Styela clava: one gene and its partner. The protein of the gene in region 1 interacts with the protein of each later gene in a biochemical or structural test. Links are inferred from orthologs where the notes say so. Each region holds a gene or a part of one and is shown on either strand. Other genes may lie near its edges.

Region 1 (8,199 bases):
GTGATTGACAAGGTAATATCTCACATACGCTTCAAGTGCAGCTGTTATTTTACTCAATGCAATAATGAAAGTCAACACTGAACACAAAAGATTAGAGTGAGGAATGTGAACTATTGAAAACATTCCAAGTACATAACCGCACAAAACAATGTAAGATGATTACTTTGTAGAGTAAACACAAAAACTGAAAACACATTTGGCCCTAGGTGAGTTAAAACCTAGTAATCTAAACAAGCAATCAGTGGGTGTTTCTTATTGAAGCATTCTGAATTAAAACACATAGTATGCCCTACGAACGAAAAAGTAATACAGTATATAGGGAGAAAAACAACTGATTCAAATTTAAAATCCTTCCAAAGGAATAGTTTGTTTTCGAATATACTACGACTATATACCTTAAGCAATGACAGATTGACATAATCAAACGTAAAAATAAAAATTGAACAAAACTTTGATGATCGAGATTTTCTAAAACAACTTTTTCAGGCATTTTAACTCTAAACTAAAATTGTCTTTAAGAGACAATATTTTAGAATATATTTGATTTAAATTTGACAACACCTATTGATTGTTATGTTACACATACACAGGTGTCAAGTTAATTCGAGTTTATTTCTTTTTTAACCAGTATGAAAAAACTACACACAAATTAAGAGGTGAAAACACAGTTTTACTAAGGAAGGGAAACTGTATATCTAATCAAAAAGATAATCAGTGAAGACTTTATTATATCATGAAGAGAATTATCAAGTGCTGATTAACGAGCTACATTCCCCAAAAATCAACCGAATCTGGATCTTTGTATATTTTTTGATGAGCTGATTTTTAAAATATTTCAATATGTGGAAAAGCTAAAGTAATTATTCTTCATTCTTTTTATGTATCAGATATCTCCTTCCAATCTTTACAGAACTATATGTCACACTTAGATATTTTCCTAGTGCTGATAATATAACAAAAATTATCTGTTTAAAAATACCTATTTTACCTTTAAGTAATTCAGGGCTTCAACAGTTGCCACGGCAATTTTCCCCAAAATTTCTTCAGGAATAACACTATTTAATCTTTTATAAACAAATCGATAAAATTTGTCGAGAGAGGTAGACATCAACTCCATGCATATCCAACAATCTCCTTCCCAAAATAATGCGCCATAAAATTGAACTATGTAGGGACAATCATTGCTTCTCATAACCTGGAAGAGAAGTGGAATTTTTATTGAATGATTAGAATACGGGGTCTGGGTTAAATAGATCTATGGAGTCATGTTCTTCTTTAATGAACAGAATATTGTTATAGACAATAAAATTTTTAATCAATATGAGACCTTATAATAAGTGATGAGAATATAAATTTAGCTGGACTTTTTACAAACAATGTCACATAAGTATGCGACAGTCAATTCAGAATGGACAATACTTTAAATGTGATATTATGTCACGATGTCAAAATTGAAACATTTCAAGCTAGGTCATGGGATGGCGTTGATACTTAGAAACCAATATATTTTCCAAGTGTTTCAATTTGAAATGAGAGTCTTTATCAAGGGAGGGCAAATCACGACCCGCGGACCAGATCCGGCCCATCGAAGTGTTTCATCCGGGCCACTTATCTCTTCTGAAAATATGACTATAGATTTTACGAATATAAATTTCCATGGGAATTATCAATAAAAATAACACATGGTTGGCTAAAATAAATACTGTAACTCCCTGCGTATTATCCGCACCCGAACATGTGCTGTGCAGAATGAGTCACTCACCCATCCGAAATTTAAGCCTACAAATTATGTTTCTAGGGCTTTTTTTGTGCGGCCGTGGATGCTGCAACACACTTTTTTCCTTCTGCCCATACATCAATTTATGTGAAGCATGCAGGTAGGCAATTGTTATCATCGACATTAGTTATTTGTAAATAATTTTTTTCATTCATGGTTTAGGTTCAGCCCAGTAACCAAGACTTTTATTTGTAAGTGGCCCACTTAGGGAAGTAATTGCCCACGCCCGGTCTAGATTAATGATATGATTGACATTTACCATCATTTTCAGGAATTAAACAAAGTGATGCGTAAAACTTCAATTTCTCAAAACATTCATCTTTCAAGTAAACTATTTCGATTCACTCCTGAAATCATGAATCAAAAATTTCTAATACAATCAATTTCTAAATGACCCGAATAATCTATTCATTTCGGAAACTCTTATATAAACGACTACATCAACCACTCCAAAGACGACACTGACCACATCCAAATCCATGAGAAGCTGTCTTTGTTCTTTCTCCTCCACAGTGGATCGGATTCGTTTCACAGCCATCTGTTTACCGCTATCGTTGTGTCTCATACGATTTACAGTGCCAAAAGCACCACGGCCTATTTCTCCTTCATCCGTCAAATCTTTCGAAGTAAAATCATACACCTGCAAAAGTAGGAAAATAATTCTCAGTTCTAAGACAATGGAAAATTCATAACACATTTATCAAATTCATCACATACTTCTCACTATTGGAAATGAATTATCTGTAGACTGTATTTAAAGCTGCAATTGCACCACAAACTAAATACTTCATATCGAATTTATACCATACTAGTACATATTGTGTAGAGCCTCGATTTACTGAAGCAGATTCATTTAGGAGTTTAGATGGTTAAACAAGAGCCATATTGTGACTACTTGTTTGGTTTTATCAACAGTTGAGTACTTGAGTAAAACGAAAATGATCAGCTTCTCAGATTTCATCGTCCAAACAATAATAATTTGAATGCCATATTGCAAAAACTTCTATTTCTAAAAAAACTGTGGTATATCATGAACAATATTCATTTTGCATGTCCCGAGTGATATCAGGATATAGAACATTTTGATCAGTTGACATTTTTCCGGGATCTGGAAATAAATCTATGAGATATGTAACAGTGCTGTTCATCACCTGTGAAGGTCCTATGATGAGTTTTCCGATGCTCGATAAATTTTCTGGAGTTAAAATTGGTTGAACTGGTGGTCTTACAATGGGTACTGGAAAATTAGGAGTTATCCTAGCTTGTCCTGGTGATACACCTGCATTTCCAGGCGGCAAAGAAAATCTCAAATTTAGACTTGGTCTTCCTCTTCCACCAGATTTGTTCAATGGCAGATTCATTACTACGACACCGTCAGTCAGACAGTCCCAATTCTAGAATTCAGATGTATCAAAGCTACATTGGTTGTTATTAAACTGCGAAAAGAATAAAAAAAATAAGAAGAGTAGGCTAGGTTCGAGATAGATTATAGACTGTATAAAAGTTAAAAAGTTTTAATTCTGAAATGAACCACTCTTCTGCAAGCATCCTTTACCCAAGATTTTGTTTGCTCTCCTGATCCTGTAATTCATCCTGTATTCTAATAAAGGATGAGGCCTATTTAAGTTTAAAAAGTGCAGGCATAATTTGCAGACCGAACAGAAATGTGATGTGAAATTTTTATGATTAAAAAAAATCCGTATGGCGCGGTATGACTGAATGATAGACGAGTTTCTGCGTTCAGTTAAAATCGACCCCGCTCCTGCACTCCATTTTCAAATAGTCTGGTATCGTACGGTACGGGACCGGTATGTCGTATGTGACGTACCGTATGTCCCATTCCTTATATCGCTAAGAAAATTAACAAGCGACCCAGTTTTGTATCGCGACCCATAGGTTGAAAAACACAGCCCTAGGCGTTATTTCAACTGCCTTTGAAGCTAAACGCAAAACAGAAAAATCCTTCACATCCCAACACTGCAATATCAAACCGGCTACTAACAGACACAGCACACAGGTCCACTAGTCTGTCTGTAGGTGCAATTTGGAAAATCAGAAATTACTTACGCTTTGCGCCTCTAGCGTTAATCAGGCTTCATAGAGAAGCACGGGGATTTTATTTGCTCTTTGTGACTTTAAATTTCAATAAAGCGACATAAGCATGTATGAATAAGGAGAGATATATGGTCCAAATCGTTAATAGGCCAATTATCTGTTGCAGATGCACGGAAAAGGCTGAATCGAAAAAGGTTTCAGATTCACCCAACGAGTATAAACTCGTCATTTGGGAGTGTTCTGACAAAAATAAAATTGTATACATATTAGTATTTAGAAGTTGCTTGCAGTCGCTTACTCGCTTGTAGTCGGGTTTGTAAAACACACGAGAAAGAAGTCGAGAAAACGATGTCTAACGAAATAGTCTTAAACCTGGCAACGGAACTTTATTACACACGTAAGGGATCTATGGACTGTTTTGCTAAATGCTTTCGTTGTTCTTGTTAAAGTGATTGCTGCTGGAGAAAATCGATTTTCTCGGCAATTAATAAACAATCGGCAATTAAAAATTGTTTTGAAAGAATTCGTCGGAGAGCTAATACTTTTTTTTTTTTAATTTTTTATGGCTGTATGGGGTGTGACAAAAATTCAAGATTTTGCTGTTTTATTTTACTTCAAGGCAATACTCAAACATTTTAGGATAGGATAGGATCCCGGGGGAGAGGAAATCCGATAAGACGGCTTATCCATATGGCGAACCACGGCCTGTCGTCCGGTTACCATTCCAAGTCGGGTATGGGATTAGTTATATATATTGTTTGTTTCGGAAGCATGGACTTTAATCCGTCACGCTTATCCGTCAATCTCTTCAGCAAACTCGTTGCTCTCTCAATATAACTTTTCAGGGGGAAAATATATTTTGGTTGTTGTTTGTATAGGTGTTGAGAAAAAAGTTTTCTCTGTCGTTTCACGACGAACACATTGGCAGCGCATTGACTGCACAATCCCCTAAGTCAGGCCTGCACAACATACGGCCCGCGGGCCGCATGCGGCCCTCTAGATACTTCTGTAAAGCCGCATTGTTATGCAAGCGCGCCGCTACCCCGATCATATTCGAAATTGTGAAATTTATGTTTTGCACTAGTTTCAATAAATATCGAACTTTGTGTGAAACTGGTGTGCCCTTCGTGACCCCTAATATTCGTTTCTAGACCCCTCGCCCCCCCCCCCCTCCCCCCTAGTTTGGGAAACCCGGATTTAGATATCTCAGTATTGAGTATTCAGACTGAATCACGCACAAAACAATATCGGTATACAATCTCACACCCATTAGTGCATATAAGCAACCTACTCGCACAAAAGATATTGCTATTTACTATAAAATTTCAAATAAATTGGAGCAGATTTTGTAGAAAAATGTAATTTAACAGTCAAAAAACTGCAACAGAGAAAGATCTATTGCTACTAAAGGGATTGTTTGCCTAACCTACAATGGAAATATCCAATAATGGTAGATATGAAGCGAACTAACTTCTTTCTAACAAGAAAAAGACTTTCAATTATGTTGATGTTTAATCCATAACAAAGCAATGTTAACGACAAGCGAACAGAAAACAGAATGACAAGTTATCGTAAGAAAAGCACGTAAGTAATCATGCGTGACAAAAACATAAACAAAACAATTGTGACTCATAACGGCTATTATTAGTTAAGTGGTTCGCCACACTACCCCCCCAGACGGAATGAGTTATAAAAATCTAGTGGGTTTACGAGTTTTTCTACCAAATTTGGTTCTGTAATCATAACCGGTTGTAGGTTCGGATGAACGATCGTCTGTAGAACGCTGATTGTTCGTTGTTGTTTTAGGGATTGGAGGACGTCCTCTTGGTTTAGGAATGGATACAGAAACAGGATGGTCGAGATCAAGATGAGCTGGCTTTAACCTGTCAACAGAAATAGTTTCGCTTCGGTTTCCAATCTGTACTTTGAAAGTTTTATTCCCATGTTGCAAAACTTCGAATGGTCCTTCATAAGGTCTTTGTAAAGGAGATCGGTGTGCGTCACGACGAATAAACACGAACTTGGCTCGATTGAGTGCGGCTGGCATTCTTGCTCTGAAAGGACCATGGTGCGACGTAGGAATTGGAGCCAATGATCCTACTCTTTCTCTGAGAAGCCGAAGATTTGTGGTCGGGCAGCTATTGTCTTTAGAGTCTGATATGAAATCACCGGGGACAGTGAGGGGAGCGCCATAAACAAGCTCAGCTGACGATGCCGTAAGATCTTCTTTCGGAGCTGTGCGGATTCCCAATAAAACCCATGGAAGCACGTCCAACCAGTTTGAATCATTGAGTCGTGCCTTAATGGCAGATTTCATTGTTCGATGAAAACGTTCTACCAAACCATTTGCCTGTGGGTGGTAGGCTGTAGTGTGATGAATTTTTGTTCCCAATAATTCGGCAACAGCAGACCAAAGGCCTGAAATGAACTGTGATCCTCGGTCAGAAGAAATGTGAAGTGGAACACCAAAACGGGCAACCCAATTTGACAGGAAAGCTCGGGCACAAGACATAGTTGATATGTCTTTGAGGGGAATGGCTTCTGGCCACCTTGTGAAACGATCTACTATTGTAAGAAGGTAATTGTATCCTTGTGATGGTGGTAAAGGACCAACTAAGTCAATGTTGATATGGTCAAAACGTTTGTCTGGCATTTTGAAATCTTCTAAAGGGGCCCGTATATGACGATTTATTTTAGACTTTTGGCATTCCAGGCATGTTTTGGCCCATTGTCCAATTTGTTTGGAAAGACCATGCCACACAAATTTTTGTGAGATCAGTTTGCGAGTGGTACGTATGCCTGGATGCGAGAGCCCGTGAACCGCATCAAAAATTTTTCTGCGCCAGCTGGCAGGCACTATAGGTCGTGGTCTACCCGTAGATACGTCACACAGCAATGTAAATTTGCCGTTGCAAAAAGGGACATCTTCGACACGAAGGCCGGTGATAGCAGTGCGGTAAGCCTGTGTATCCTTGTCGTTTAGTTGATCTGTGGCCATAATTTCATAATCGATGCCGTCATTGATGTCGTTGATGACCGCGCGCGACAGGGCGTCGGCGACAGTATTATCCTTACCGGAAATATGTTGTATATCCGTTGTGTATTCAGATATGAAATTGAGGTGACGCTGTTGTCGCGCTGACCATGGCTCAGAGACTTTTGTCATAGCAAAAGTGAGGGGTTTGTGATCTGTAAAAACCGTGAAGGGTCGTGCTTCGAGAAAATAACGAAAATGTCGTATTCCTAAGTAAACGGCCAAAAGTTCCTTGTCGAATGCACTGTATTTCGTCTCGGGTTTGCGTAGCTGTCTACTATAAAATGCGATTGGCTTCTAAGATCCATTTAACTTTTGCTCGAGCACACCTCCTAAGGCAACGTCCGAAGCGTCGACTGTGAGGGCAGTTGGTGCGTTTGGTTGTGGATGTATAAGCATAACTGCATTTGCCAGTACTTTCTTAGTTTTTTCAAATGCACATATCATACTGTCAGTCCATTTGGGCAAAACCTTCGACTTCTTGGGCAGGCCGGAAAGTGCTGCGAATAGTGGTTGCATTATTTGGGCAGCTTTGGGCAAAAACCGATGATAGAAATTAACCATGCCAAGAAACTCTTGAAGGCCTTTTACAGATGAAGGGCGAGGGAAATTAGTTATCGCCTTCACTTTATGGGGGAGAGGAAAAGCACCCTCTTTTGTAACAGTATGTCCCAGGAACTCTAATTCGCTTAAACCGAATTTACATTTGGCAGGATTGATAACCATACCGTGACTTTTTAGCCTTTGGAAAAGATTTCGCAAGTCCTTTTTGTGTTGATCTTTAGACGTACTGGCGATAAGGATGTCGTCAAGATAGACAAATACGAAAGGCAGACCTCGACAGATGGTATCCATTAAACGCTGGAATACCTGGGCGGCGTTTTTAAGCCCAAACGGCATGCGGAGAAATTCAAATAGGCCAAACGGTGTGATAATGGCAGTTTTGGGGATATCTTGTTCATGAATAGGTATTTGATGATAACCGCGAACAAGATCCACTTTAGAGAAAATTGTCCTTCCCGCAAGACGGGCCGTAAAATCTTGTATGTTTGGGACTGGGTAGCGGTCAGGCACGGTCATATCATTGAGACGTCTGTAGTCTCCACATGGGCGCCACCCGCCGTCCTGTTTAGGTACGATGTGAAGCGCAGACGCCCAGGGGCTATTTGAGGGTCGGATGATTCCGAGTTCAATCATGTTATCAAACTCTGCCTTTGCCGCGGCTAGCTTATCGGGGTGCAATCTTCGAGCCTTTGCGTGCACCGGGGGGCCTTCTGTAACAATATGATGCTTTACCCCGTGTGCAGTGGTCGGGTTGCTGAATGTGGGGCGC
Region 2 (8,026 bases), on another chromosome or scaffold:
GTTATCGATTCAGGGACGCCCGCACACTCTAAAGAAGCTTTCAGCATTTCCAACTGATCTTTAGGATCTGGAATAAATATCCAATAATTCTGTAAATCTACATAATCTGCAGGGGTGGACAAGCCATTTTCATTTGAGTTATTCTCCCTCCAGTTCATTTTAAGTAGGGTATCAGAAATATCAACCAAAACATAACCTTCAGAAGACATAGATTCCAGAAGTTGGCAATATGAGCAATACATTTCAGGACTATTTCCAAGATATATAACATCAAACCCAATTGCAGGCTCCAAGGCCTTACGCAATCGTTTTCCAAAAGATAATATTCTTGTAGCTCTTTCTCGAGTTTCGATAAACAAATCTCGGACAGCCCTACAGAGTTCAAATAAGTAACGTTTTTGGTAACCATTTTGACTTATTTGTTTGTAAGACAACCACGGAAGAGAATTTGCACTAGATGATGAAGATGTAGTAGATATTTGTCTGTTCATATTGAACTCTGTTGGAGAACTAACTGGTGTCACCGATTCGGATGACTGAACAGAATTATGACGTGATAAATGTGGACTTTCAGAACGTTGCCTGTGGAACCACAGAACACCAGCTTGAGCCTTTGAAGTATGCTTAATAGAATCTGAAATTCTTCTTTCTTTTTTCAAATCTTTGTAGGGATTTTGTTCAGCAGGTGAGGGAGTTTCCATATCGGTTTGCGACTCAATTAGAGCATTAATCGCACTAACAATAAACTCTCGGGTTGAGTCAACAATGTCTGCAGATATTCGAATAAACCTGCTCGCACACATAACAATTCCGTCAAAATCAATCAGTGGGGATATATTGTTAGCAAAGACCCATTCCTGTTCCAAAATCTCCTGAAAACCTCGAGGAGCATGTGGTAAATCACCCAACATTTTAACCAACCATGCGTTAACAAAATCCAGGTAAGTTGTGAGCATGCAGCGCAAATCTGCTTCATAATCAGCCATAGATAAGGTGTTATCTTCATCTTGCTTATCTATGTATATATCGCCGATCAAAAAATTCAAAATATCTCTAGCAAGCAAACCACATTCAAGCATTTCCTTAGATTCGGCCACAAGCTGCTTTGCAGTTAAAAGACATACAGATGAGCCACTGTTGTTAAAAAATGGCATGGCTTGTTTCATTCGCAAATGCATACATTGCTTCATAATGGCAAACAGAACTCGAGGGAAAAAGAGATATAAGGGCTTGATACTTGGCAAATTAAATAGAGCAGTGTTGCAATCGGATGGAGATACAGCAGACGCTTCAACAATGACAAAATCTAATTGATTTCCTTCAAAAATATTTCCGTGAGACTCAGAAAACACATTGTTAATTTTTGTCAAAAGATTCGAAAGTTTTGAAGTTTGATCCTTGCGAGTTGACTGTGACACACAGTTTAGGTGTGTCCATACATTCGCAAATGAAACTTCTCTTTCCTCCTCGCAACCAATTAAAAACTGAACTGAATCAGAATCACCATTGTGGTCCATAAAATCACTCTCATTTTCTATACGGGACATCTGAGGGGTGGAAATATAGCATTGTTTTGGAAGTAAGTTCATCTTTGCACGAAAAAGTCCACTGAAATGCTTGTGAATAAATGTATGCAGGATTGATTTAACAGCCTTTCTTTTTAAAATTCGACTCGTGTATTCACTTATGATACTTTTAAATGTGTCCACACTAAGGTATGAAGGTATTTCATTACTTGTACTGCTCGTTTCCTCCTCATTTTCAGAAAGGCCAGTTAAATTGAAATGGAAAAGGTGTAAAGCAATATTGAGTTTTCCTTTTAAATCTGATGTAGTATTATACCAACAACAGAGTGATTCGATTTTCGACTGAAATTCTTCACTACTGTAATATGGGTATTCTGCTGATAATGTAGAGGATGAGGGATATAGATTTTCAATTATACAAAGAAGTTTTAACACCTCTCCAACTTTGCTAAGAGCATCTTCTTGTAGTTGAATATACTTTTTGGTAGGAAATAAGATATTGGTCTCAAGATCATATTCAAGACTGGTGTCATGAAAAAAACGATTGGCATGCGGTAATGCTTTGGGTGATTCTATATCTGATATATCTTTATCAGATTGTTGAGACACCTCTAAGTCAGAAACATTACTTGACATGTAGCTGTCGCATTCTTCACATGCCGCTTCGGGTATCTGCTCTAAAGTAGAATCTATTTTTTCTTTCAGTTCCTTGAGATAAGTGATGTAGTTACTATCAAATTGAAACACAGACACAAATGATAAAACGTCCATCACAAGACAATGTCGCGCATTGAACAATATTTGATCCTGCTCCATGAGCGAGTGATCATTGAACCACGCTTGCAATTCAAGCCAGATAAGCTCATTTCGTCTTAATCTGTACATTTGTGAGGTTTTATGATCAACTTTGCTTCGATCAGTTTCCGATTGGTTCTGTTTGTTATTCCCTGCCGTGACAACCTGTCTTAATCTTTGCATGTAACGATGCCTCATTTGTTCTGTTGGAGAAGGCTTCTGAAATTTAATTTTAGATTGGTTTTTACGACCTTTGCCTTTCGATTTTGAATTAGATTTTATATTATCGCTGACAAAATCCCTTTCAGATACACATGAAGTTGACAGACAACGAAGTGGGCGACCACTTCCAAGCATAAACATATCTGATTGGACAGAAGCTCGTCTTCCAATAACAATATCATTGTCACCAAAAATATCATCGCCATCTCTGGCTGTTGGAATCGAATCCCCTCTTTTTGCATCTCGCTGATGGGAGCGGATCTCAGTTTTCTTTTTTCGCATTGAACTCCTTGGGCTATTTATATATCGATGATCTTTTGAACTAAACATGAGATGTTTGTTTTTAGGGTCAACTTTCCACGCATCCGACCCGTTCGCAGCGGCACCACCAGATTTTGCATTTTTTATTTTGCTCCTAGATCTTCTCCTGGGAGGTGTAGCTTCTAACAGGTCATTCACATCATAATTCATTACCACGATATTCTACATAGCAACCGATGGCACTAACTGACTAAACATAAAAATTAGAATTGATGAATATTGCAACAAAAGTCAGAAAGAATAAGTAAAAAACTGGCAAGCATTTCACTACTGCACTATATATCACATACAGACATAGGGACAGCCACATTCAGACATTCCCAAAATTTAGTATTCGGAATACAGGAATAGATTGTAAAACTGTAAAATGACAAATGATATTTCTGAATGCAGGAATTAGAAACATTAAACATATATCAAATATCTGAATATATCCCAAAATGAAAAATGTTTACCAAAGAATTTTATATAGCTACTGTATGCAAATTTATAGAAATTGAATTTAGTAATGATTTAAAAGGTTGTAATACAGTAATAAGGGGTCTGGTATAGTTTAGTACCACATGCACTTCTAGTTGGCCTGGCTCAATAATTTTTGCATATTTCAATTCTAACCCCCACCTGACTACATCACCGAAAAATTACGTCATTTCGAAGTCACAGTGGCGTAATAGGGCCCACCAAAGTATGCGGATGGTCGTCCAAAACGCGCAGACTATCACCCATAATTGAGCAAGCTATTTCTCTTGTTCTCTCGCCACAACGATCACGATAGGAGAGAGATTGCCAGCGTTAGCGAGATCGTTATCGGCGGCGCAGATGCCATTTCGGGCGATCGTAATTATACTTCGGCAAGCCCTATGACGTGATGGTGACGTCGTAGTGAAGTTTTGGATGGCATTGTCAGGTGGGGGTTAGGAATAACATATGCAAAATTCGTTACGCTTCGCCCACTGGAAGTACTTGTGGTACCGGTACTAAACTATACTAGACCCGTAGTTGGCACTGTTTTAATTAATTGAATATGGTACCCTACCAATATATTCAAAATCAATAATCAGCATAACAGGTGATAACGTACCGTAACTGATAAAAACAAACACATATCAAAGAATCAAGAGGGCAAACCTTAGGCTTTTTAAAGATTAATAAGGACACATGGAATTTCACATAAAAAGTCGCTGCCAAACGAAGTGGTACCGGGTACGGTACCTATTTGCCACGCCATATTGCTGTATTCTGGTACCGGTACCGGTATCGGACATCGGTACAGTATTGATCTATCGGAGGATGGCGAAATTGAATACCGAATTAATAAACAAATATTACAGCTGATTCTTGTTGGAGTCTACTGATACTATATAGTATCCGGCGTATAGACTACCGTGCCGAAATCATTGAGGTGGCCGAAATTCTAAATAGCCCAACCGTAACTGCCACAAGTTTACGTTGAAGGGGTGGGATAGCTCAACGAGTATACAGTATATATGCTCATTGGCTAGCTAGACCAGAGTTTCCCAAGGCCAAACTAGGGGCAACCCTAAAATGCGGGAAACGGGAACTACGGGAAATGCACTAAAATGCGGGAACGACGGGAAATTGCAAAAACTAAAATGCGAGAATGACGGGAACTACGGAAAATTTCACTAAGAAGCGGGAATGACGGGAAATCGTTTTAAGATACGGGAAATACTCATTTTGTAGTATGTTTAGGGGAAATTGTTCTAGGAAACAAAAGCAACGGTAAATATACGCTTGGGGGTGTATGTACGTGAAAATTTGTCTAAAATGCGGGTATGACGGCAAATCGCTTTAAAGTACGGGAAATACTCATTTCAGAGTACGTTTGAAAGAAATTGCACTAGGAAACGGAAGCAACGGGAAATATACGCTTGGGTTGTGTGGGTACGGAAATTTCACTAAAAAGCGAAAAATTTCACAAAGAGTGGCAGTGACGGGAAATCACTCTGAGATACGGGTAACATGTATGTTAGTACAATTACCCCGTACATGCACACTCAAGTATAAACGACACTCCGTAAGTATGTGCAACAAGATGACGCCAACCTGAACCCAAACCTGGTATACATACTATGTTCAGGTTGTGCGCCATCTTGTTGCACATACTTCGGGAGCGTTGTATAAACTTGCCGTTGCTTTCGCTATTCAATGCATATTTACCCCACACATACTCTAAAATACATATTTCCTACACCCTAAAGCAAATTCCCGTCATTCCCGTCTGTTGTGAATTTTCCCGTAGTTCCCGCAATTACAAATTGACAAATTCACGTCGTTCCCGCAGTTACCGCTTTTTAGTGAATTTCCCGTCGTTCCCGTTTCCCGCATTTTAGGGCCCTAAAATGCAGGAAATGGAAATGACGGGAAATTTTACTAATAAGCGGGAAAATGTTACGAAATCCGGGAACGATGGAAAATCGCTCTAAGATACGGGAAATCTGCAATTTAATTCAAATACCCCGAACGTGCACACTCAAGTATAAATAGTCCGGCAGAAAAGGGGGCCTTTTCGGCCCAAGTTTGATTTCAGACATAAAGTATTTTTTATTTGTGATTATTCATCTTGGGGTCATTGCCCATCATTTCTACATGGGTGTGGAGTTTGCAGCCTTGAGCAATTTTTTTTACGGCTCGATATTTGTATTAGTGTTTTCTCGTGAAACCTGTGCATCATAATGACGCACAACCTGAACCATAACCTGTTACAATACTATGTTCAGGTTGTGCGCAATCTTGGTGCACAAACTACGCAAGCACCAAATTTACGAAGAAATAAAATCAATACCTTTTAGGTATTTATTGAGATATTTGTATTAGTGTTTTTCGTCAAACATGTGCATCATAATGACGCACAACCTGAACCATAACCTGTTACAATACTATGTTCAGGTTGTGCGCAATCTTGGTGCACAAACTACGCAAGCACCAAATTTACTGGGAAATAAAATCAATAACTTCTAGGTATTTGTTGAGCACAGCTTTGGGTCGCGACCCATATACAGTATATGAAAATACTGTCGAAACATACGCGTAAAATAAAGAGTACTATTTCAAAATACCCGTTTTTGTTGCAATTAACAACACAAGCCTGCTAATGCAGTCGCCATTTGTTCAAGTGGATATACACCCGGTGGAGAACAGTCAATTATTTGTTAGCGAGAATTGTTATGCAGCGGGATGATCACGACGACGCAGTGAAAGATAATGATATCACGAGAACAAGAATGAGAAAATTGCTACATTTTATAGTATATCCCTGGAAAAGAATGTAGTTCATTCTTATGTTCCATGCCAATGCTTTTCAAACTGCCAAAGACTCTCAACACTTTTGCTTCTTCTCTTCTATAAAATCCCCCCTTTTGAGAAAACCTGTCATGAACTAAAAGAGGCGACCGTGATTCTCTTGCCTGTTGTCATGCTGTCCCAGGAATTCTGCTACAACAAAAATTTCACAAAAACGAATTTTTAAATTTTATGGTTTTATTAATATTCTCAACAATGAATGATATACGGGTGGTAAAATGCCAAGTTATTCCAACAACATGATCATGTTTTGCAATTTACAACCAATATTTTGTATGTAACTTTGTTTGACAGAGCCCCAAGAGCTCTAACTACAAATATCAAAAATGTGAGGCCAAAAAAGTCACACTACAACATTGCCAAATGTACTGTATTTACCATAGATAACAGGTTTACCAAAAAGAATTACATGAAAAATGGTAAAATAAAGATCAATTCAGCAATATATACTTGGTGATATGCATCTGTTGATGATTTCAGGTGTTTGTTTCGGAAGTTTAATAACAGAATTAATTGTGGTTGTTGGGGATGTTTTAAAAAAAGGTTGCATGGAAAAAAGGTTTTCACAAAATGTCAAGGTTTGATAGTAGTAGAGAAGTAGAAAAAATACTCCCATGTTTTTTTTTTTCATTTGATAACCACGCCACAGAACTTCCCCGATAAGTATACGCAGCAATTGCGAGAGGCAGAAATGCCAAGATGGGATTTCATCGCATTGCAAACCAATATTAGCAATTCTTATATATATTCGCGCATTCCCATCTGAACAGCGTGGAAAAGATTATACCCATCTACACACTTTAAGAGCTATGTCAGATGAGAGTCATATTATCGAATATCAGTAAAGGAATAGTGCAATGGGAAAAGACATATAAGGCGGAACTTTCAGTAGTATGCAATCAAATAATCTTATTGTAGAATATATATTTAAAAACATTTCGTCACGCCAACTGCAGTCCGAACCTTTTGTCTCTGGCTGAGCTTAGATACCAATTAGCACTCATATAAACTGGTAAGACTGTAAGAGGCACGCGATGGAGCAGATACTAAGAGTATCCATTCCCCAGCTGTCATTTGAGTGGGTACTGCTGTTTTTATTGCAGATTTTACTGATCTTTTTGTATTAAAGATTTACTGGCATCACCGATTTAAGGATGTTGGAAACCAACCAACCATATTACAAACATTACTTTCAACACGCGGTTTAAATGAATAAAAAAGCTGAAACTAGTATTCTTTAGAACAGCATACAAATTCTATGGAATGAAACCATACACAAAAGCTCGTCAAAAACCTATAGCTCAATAATCAAGTGGAATTTGATGCATGTGCGCAAAAATGTGCGCGTTACTACGTACAACCGAAGCACGCAGGAAAATGTGTGTGATGTACTAGTATTCAAAACGTTTCACTCAACTGTGTTAGCATAACGGGTGTACATCTCGGTTTCGCACACGCATACCTTCTATCTCCACAAGGATATATTAATTCTGCCAAAGTCAATGCAGCACTGAAAGGTTGCGGCTTTCCCAAAAGAAAACACGTTACACATCTTTAGATACCAGTGGATGGTTTTACATGGCCTTGTTCGGAGTGAAAGACGAGGTCAAATATTCCAATCCAATTCAACTAATAAAATATTTCCCAAGTCCCTAAGCTTAAACTAGGAAAACGAAATGCGCGCAGCAACGCAAGTGTAGTTTGAAGAGCGCAATAGAAAGTGGCTAGATGCTGTCGATGGATCTTGGCTTGTATTAGTGAAATAAACTACCATTTATTCAACTAAAATTGAATTTCTGACATTGTAAGAAGATTCAATGTTACTATGTATGCAAAAC

Evidence for each region.
Region 2: the proteins of dual specificity mitogen-activated protein kinase kinase 4-like (region 1) and mitogen-activated protein kinase kinase kinase 4-like form a complex in vitro, tested with the Homo sapiens proteins (2 studies listed by BioGRID, with this or other methods). The link is inferred for Styela clava from reciprocal best matches to the Homo sapiens genes MAP2K4 and MAP3K4.

The regions. Positions count from the first base shown.
Region 1 is NC_135258.1:10,668,950-10,677,148, forward strand, and holds the start of dual specificity mitogen-activated protein kinase kinase 4-like, read right to left. Parts: upstream 3,229-8,199; 5' UTR 3,139-3,228; coding exon 2,929-3,138; intron 2,418-2,928; coding exon 2,244-2,417; intron 1,196-2,243; coding exon 989-1,195; intron 1-988. UniProt on the Homo sapiens protein: Dual specificity protein kinase which acts as an essential component of the MAP kinase signal transduction pathway. Essential component of the stress-activated protein kinase/c-Jun N-terminal kinase (SAP/JNK) signaling pathway.
Region 2 is NC_135252.1:8,152,595-8,160,620, forward strand, and holds the start of mitogen-activated protein kinase kinase kinase 4-like, read right to left. Parts: upstream 3,076-8,026; 5' UTR 3,015-3,075; coding exon 1-3,014. UniProt on the Homo sapiens protein: Component of a protein kinase signal transduction cascade. Activates the CSBP2, P38 and JNK MAPK pathways, but not the ERK pathway. Specifically phosphorylates and activates MAP2K4 and MAP2K6.